2 linked regions of the Schizosaccharomyces pombe genome follow. The protein of the gene in region 1 interacts with the protein of each later gene in a pairwise test. Each region holds a gene or a part of one and is shown in the gene's direction. Other genes may lie near its edges.

Region 1 (3,514 bases):
GAAATCCTTTATTTTACAAACCTCTAAATGATGCTAAAGAAAAGCAATGACAAAAGTCAGAGCTACAGCCTCTCAAAGGTGAACACGTGGAGAACAAAATAAAACTACACTATTGCAGAAAACGACGGTATCACATCCAACTTACATTACAACATATCATAGGCAAACACTATAAGTACAAATATGACCTCGTGTGGTTTTATTTGCACATTAAACTCACTATTCCCTAGCTCGGCAGCAATTAAAGATTTTATTCATAGCAACAGGTCAGATGCTGCAAGTAGGAGTTGCATAGGAAATTGAAGGCGAAAGACTCTCTAGGAGTGAAAACATAAACCCCGTTAAACGAGATCCCACGAGTAGAAAGAAATGGGATTGACGAACAATTAACAAGAGATAAAAACAAGTATTGAAGTAGCTACACAATATACATTGCCAAGACAAATGCACTAGCTAAAAGCGAAACTTTTTGCATCTGGATGGCTTTAAATAGTTTTGACCAAGACGAAAAACATTTAGGAAAAGAAAACAAAACTTTTGAGTAGCAACGCAAAAATTGCTTTAAAACTATTGACTTTGAAACTGATCACTAAAAGAGGAGGGAAAATAAATCACACAAACTTAACGATACAATTACTCGTCCACAAGTCTACTGACGAAGAGGAAGAGGTATACGAAGAAAAATACAGCAAAACATGCCAGCTTGAAAAAGGATCGTTTTTGTCTAGAGGATACGTCTTTGAAGATGGTTGTAGAGTCGTGCATATGAGTGTTGGACATAATCATTTTGGCGTTCCAAGCCAACATGGGTACATTGAGAAGGAAGGTGATCCAAGCACCTGACAATAATAGAAGAAGGGCACTGAAAGCTTGAAAACCCATTTCTGGTAGTACATACCAGTTCAGTTTTCGAGACACTAAATAGGGAAAAAGATTAGTATATATACGAATCAGAGACATTTATCATTAATATATATCGTTAGAATGTGATTATTTTAACATACAATCAATGGGATTTATGAAATCGTCTTTCAAATCAGAGTACATCACTGTAAAGTACATCTGAAGCATGATATTTGCACATGTAAGCATAAGGCTGGTAAAATAAATCCAAGCAGACACCATTTTGGATGTTTAGACACTTATTTTGAGTTTTCAAACTTTTCTTTTCGATGGGTGTAATAAGATAACTTGTCACAACTCATTGATGGTAAAATGAGCGAACGAATCGTAACGACCACAAGTTCGAATCGCACTGTTGACATGAATCTTTACCAAATGGTAAGGGAACTCGAAAAATCTGGAAGTTTGGTTTTTATGTTTACTAATCAATTAGTACGTTAGTATATTTTTTATTTTTTATTTTAAAGAATGGGCTTCGATTGAATGATCGTAAAAAAAAGTGAATTCAAGAGTTCTATGCTAATATAAATCAAAGAGACGCATGCATGGACTATGAAACGTAAACACTTCAAGTAGAAGTAATCATTGTGTTATATTCTTTAGCTTTAAAACCGCTTTAGTTAATAAAATATATAGTCTGGGTTGAAAACATTTACAATTATTCACACTGTATAGAATTAAATAATTTTACGATAATTCGATCCTTAAATATCATCATCAACTTGTTCCTCTTAGTTGTAGAAACAATTCTTATGCGTTTTTTTCGTAAACAGTCGTCAAATATTAAACTATTTTTGTTTTGCAATAATTCAGCCAACATTCAATTGGCTTCTACAATGAACATTCATTCTTAAATTAAAATTTTCTAGAAGAATAGTATGAAGGTTTTTAGCTGTTAGGATACACAATTCAATTTGTTATATTGCTAGTGTACCACTTAGTGCACATCTCAATCATTTATAATGCTTCGTTCTTTCTCTATACTACACAAGTTACCATTGACTCGAGTGTTAATCAAATTGCAATTGTATATACGAAAAATATAAGCATAAAGGTGAGGCTCTGGAGAAACAAAAAGCTATTGTGACATTTTTTTGGAATACAAATAATTTTGAAAGTTTTTGGGAATTTCGCAAGGATTTCGAACCCTTATATAAGAATCGAATTACAGTCATTTAACTATTGATCATTTGGTACTTTTTTACTCTTTGGTTTTATTTAAATCTTTCAAAAGGATGACGGGCGCAACGTTAACTGTTCGAGTAATTCGCAACTTTGAATATCGGACACTGAAAAACGTCGTTTTCCACGACATAGATCTGGCCACTACGACTGTAGACCAGTTCAAAAAAATCATCGATGAACGCATACAAACGGATCCCTCATTGAAAATCTACCGTACTACCCATTTTGACACGTTGAAGATTTATGTGAAAGCCCAGCAGCACAAAACCCAAAACTTGGCTATTAATTTAGACCACGATGATTGGATTCTTAATGATGGAGCCAAAACATTGTCTCTTTGTGGAATTGAAAATGAAACTGAGTTGTCCTACTTTGAACTTGCTGCCTACAAGGCCTATCAAGCAAATCCTGTACAAAAATGGCTTTAGACATGCATAACTTTATTAAGAGTTCAATTGTTGGTGTTAGGAATAGGAGATGAGTTTACCTTTGTTATTTAAATTGAATATTTTTCAAACTACGCTAAAAAATTCCTGATGTCTTTATTAGTGCAACTATTTAAAATTACCTAGGTCGCTGTTGCAATTCATGTATTGACAATAGCAGAATGCATTGTAGTGAGCAAAAGTATGTAGAATAATAAATGATACAAAACAATACGCATTTTAAACCAAATGTTGTAAACATCGACTTTATGACTTGGTACCAATAGCACCAAGGACGTCCCTATCTACATATTTATATAAGAACAAAACATTTCTCATTCATCAAAACGCTACACCAATACTTAATAAAAAGTTATTTTAAAAACAAGCAAAAAAAGAGTTGCGCGGCCAGGTTTCGATCCTGGGACCTACGGGTTATGAGCCCGTCGGAGTTCCACTCTCCTACCGCGCACAAATACCGTCACCAGCAGGATTTGAACCTGCGCGGGCAAAGCCCATTAGATGACTAGAATACAGGATTCAAGTCTAACTCCTTAACCACTCGGACATAGTGACTTTAGCTGTACATTTATCATGAAATGTAATTTATATAGCCAAAATCAAAAATTTCTATGTAATTTTTGATAGGAAGTTTCCAATGCTCAAATGGTTGATTTCACAAAAGCATTGCTTTATGTTAAGAAAATATTGTTTTTGGTGTTAGAATATATTTTTTTTATTATCAAAGTAAACTCCTAAAACTACAAGCTTGTCTATTCAGCTTAATTTCCATAAGTAGCTAGTGTTCATCCTTCAATTCAATGACTTTGCATTTGAAAGGATAGTTAGTTTATGAGACCTTAGGGATTTTGTGATTAAGTAGTCCAATTATACTTCTAATGTTATAATCAATAAACAATTACAATGCATTCAGTTTTTTATATCCCACATTGAAAGTTGTCAGGTATGAGTTAAAGTGTGTGATTAAAAGATTTTTTTTA
Region 2 (4,003 bases), 1.9 Mb from region 1:
ATACCTTTATTGCTCATATATAATCGTTTAGCATCCTCGTCTTCCTTAAACTTTTTGTCACAGAAAGTAATATATTCAGCCGTTACTTTTTTATATTTTGTGTAACTTGGCTTTTTACCAGATATTAACATTTTGGTGACTTCACGCCATTGACGAAACATGCCATACGGTTCTGGAAATTTATATTTGAAAAAGAAATCATTAGAAGATTGTTGCTCAAGAGATGAATGATCAGAATGACAACGAATAACAAACCCTTCGATTGCCCTGTTATTCCATTTGCCATCTTTAGAGGCATTTTCTAAAAAGGCTTTGAGCTCATGAATGCTATCCATAAAAAATGAAGAAACTTTCATAAATCCCCATTGTTCCGCAAATTCAGCAACTTCACAGGATGATGCAGTAATAAACTGCGGGCAATTCCGATTTAATCCATGCAGATATAGTCCACGAGAATTTCCAGTGTATGGAAGAATGTGCTCTTCAAACTCATCATCACAGAGTTCAGCCACAGCAGTCATGTCTCTACGAAGTAGTTCATGGGCCAGCTCTTGTTTAGTGCGACCAACACTTTGCAAATGTTTTTCAAGCCAACGTTCCCCAACGTTTGCATGAGAGACTGATTGTCCTTCCACAATACCTAAAGAATGCTTGCTAGAAACAATGATCTGTCCGTCTGGCAAAGCTGCAATAAATATGATACAACCATTTTCTTTGACTGTCAATTCATAAGGTCCTTTAGTGTGTTGAGAAAGTGCATCCCAAGTAGTAATAGGGACTTCATCAATATTAAAAAATTTATCGTACCCACGTATAACAATGCGATGTCTTTTACTTTCATAGTCATAGCCAGTAAACAAACCACGCGCGTTTGTAGGTAAAGTAATTCTATGTCCAGATATAGTATCAAAACATTTTTTGCTATTGGACACATTTAAACGAAATGCCTGTTCCCAGATCCTCCAAGAAGTTAAATCATAATTAGATTTGGGAGCTTTGAATGTAACTGATCTAACAGTTGATTTTTTTTCTCCGAATATGCAAACTCTTTGATCACGAGTCTACATAATTCTTGAACCAAATCTTCTGAATTATTAAAATTCAAAACCATAATTTTTTAAGAAAAAATAATAAAGCAAAAGCCTTGAATTCAACGAACTTCCTTTGACTGAATGCTCTACAGAAAAATAAGCAACTATGTATTTTTGGAAGAAATCAATAAAGGAAGAAAAACATAAGCTTTTCTCAGCAGTTGGCCGGAAGAAGCAACTACACTGATTTGAAAAGAGTAGAGCGAAAGACAAAAACTAATTTATTTCTGCTCACAGTTAAGCTTGGTATATGGAAGCAACATTAGTTACGGTAGATTCTATTATGTCTCAGTAAAATCTATTTACAAATTCAAAAATACCTGATAAATCTTGATCTACTAATTAAAGCGAGCACGTATTTATTTCTACTTATCAATAATAAACGGGTTGTTTTTTCATTGATATAATGTTTTGTCTTCTACCTTCTGTGCAAGCTTTAATAAGTTAACAAATTAGCTGAAGTTACAAATCTTTACTTCGTTTTAGCAATAGCATTTTCAAAAGTAAAAATTCCAGCTGTTAAGAATTCCGATAACATTTTACATATGGATGTAACCAACATTATTATTCATTAGCAAACAAAAAATTCGGTTAGTTTTTAATCATGCTAGCTGTTGATAAATGGTTTCAGGAATTAAACGGAAAGTCATTGCAAACACTAACCGTAGCAAATAAATTTCAAATCATAAGTCAAAATAACGTTTTTCTACGTTTTGTGAGCCACTCTCTTGCAGTGCGTTACTCAAATGTATCCAGAACAGCGGAAAATTAAACGAAAATTGATGAAGATAGATTTCAAGCGTCGGCATTTTTGATACATTAATTGTCTACTTACAAGGTCGGTTGAATAGACAATTTCCGCATTAGGGGCTACTAGGCTATCCATCTGTGCAATATTTATTACCATTTTTAAACCACAACACCACATATCTCTTTGCAAGGTTATTAGCCATATATTTTATTGTGTCCTCGTCCAGCAAGAATATTATCTTCGGATGTCCAAAGTAATAAAGTCATAAAAAACCTCATAGCTAGTACTAATCGATTTTTTTTTAAGCTTAGTGATTATTGTGGCACCATGACTAACACAATTGATTCATTCCAAAAAGGCTCCGCATTAGAAAACTATAACATATGGATCGATTGCGATCCTGGACATGACGATGTTGTCGCCTTAACATTGGCTGCTTGCGCTGGACATTGTAAAATTTTGGGTGTTAGTACCGTACATGGTAATACAACGCTAGAATTTACTACCAAAAATGCTTTAGCGGTAATGGAGCTTTTAAATCAAGATGTTGATGTTCATGCTGGCGCAGCGAAGCCCTTGATGCGCGAGTCCGCGTTCGCTACTCACATACATGGTACGAATGGGCTTGCAGGGATTTCATTGCTTCCTGATTATCCCAAAAAGAAGGCTACTCCTGATGCGGTGTTCGCTATGTATACCACTATTTCTAATTATCCAGAGCCTGTCACTCTCGTAGCTACCGGTCCTTTGACAAACATTGCATTGTTATTGGCAACGTACCCAAGCGTTACCGACAACATAGAAAGGTTTATATTTATGGGTGGTAGCACAGGCATTGGAAATATTACTTCTCAAGCAGAATTCAACGTGTATGCTGATCCTGAGGCAGCTAGGCTCGTTTTAGAGACTAAATCACTTATCGGCAAACTATTTATGGTGCCGCTAGATGTCACTCATAAAGTACTTTTAGATGCAAACATTATTCAGTTACTGCGTCAACATAGCAACCCATTTAGTTCCACACTGGTAGAATTGATGACTGTCTTTCAACAAACTTATGAAAATGTCTACGGAATTCGAAACGGTGTTCCCGTTCATGACGTTTGTGCTGTTGCTTTGGCGCTGTGGCCATCTCTGTGGACCTCGCGTTCTATGTATGTGACTGTAAGCTTAGATTCTCTCACTCTTGGTCGCACTGTCTGTGATGTATGGTCGCAACAAAATCAGTATCCGGCTAATGTTCATGTTGTTTTGGAAGCTGATGTTTCATTATTTTGGGAGACGTTTATTGGAGTTATAGACAGGCTCAATTATTTGTAGTATATTTATGACATTATCGACTAGTGTTTTATGTTTATTTTTTACAACGATCAAGTTCTCCCTTCATTTTCAATTTTGAAAGCACTTCAAGCATTCATCATGCCCTCTTATATCATCCATTGGAAATACAAAACCAAATACTTTCTTTTTTACTCAAAGAAGTACGTTTATACTTTTGCATTGCATATAGTTTTATAAAATCTTAGACTATAAAAATATCATTATTTGAATTTAAATACTAACAACAAAGTATGTATAAATAAATGCTTAATTATAAACAAAAGGGTGTACGAGTAAGTGATAGGTTCGTAGAATTGTCAATAGCATCATTTTGGCAAATAAAATCAGTAGACGCCAAGTTGGTCTTTCATAGTACATTAATAAGGCACTTTAAAAAAGCTCAATATGAACAACCAGAACGTATTATATTCTTAAGTCGAAGAAAAGGCTTAAAAATACTAGAATTAATGTGCCAATTTTATAGTCCTATGTACAAGTAGCTTGAGAATATTTTCTGAAAACAAATTCAAGAAAAAAGGGAAGATAAGAATAAATGTAATAGCAAAACAAGAATAAAGTATACAAAGACATTATATTTATGGTCATATAGGGTGGAGAAAGTAGCTACTCATCACCAGACGCGGAAGAGGCTTCACTAGTTGTCTTGTCAGAAAAATTACCATGATCAACAGAGGCTTTCTCCTCGTGATCTGCTTCAGTTTCCTCACCAGTAGGTTCTTCTTTGACAGGAGTTTCTGTGGTAGCTGATTCGTCATCTTTTTCAATTTCCTCTTCTTTAACAGTATTCTTTTTAACTTTTTTAGCGGGAACACTTTCATTA

The links.
Region 2: the proteins of aim29 (region 1) and urh2 interact in a two-hybrid assay, tested with the Schizosaccharomyces pombe proteins (one large-scale study listed by BioGRID).

What each region holds. Positions count from the first base shown.
Region 1 is NC_003424.3:4,264,724-4,268,237, reverse strand, and holds aim29 (protein aim29), read left to right. Parts: upstream 1-1,890; 5' UTR 1,891-2,138; coding exon 2,139-2,516; 3' UTR 2,517-2,733; downstream 2,734-3,514. Other genes in the region: cor1 (cornichon family protein), read right to left, coding at 634-917, 1,005-1,125.
Region 2 is NC_003424.3:2,342,646-2,346,648, forward strand, and holds urh2 (uridine ribohydrolase), read left to right. Parts: upstream 1-1,875; 5' UTR 1,876-2,169; coding exon 2,170-3,162; 3' UTR 3,163-3,399; downstream 3,400-4,003. Other genes in the region: negative cofactor 2 complex subunit Bur6, read right to left, coding at 3,787-4,003.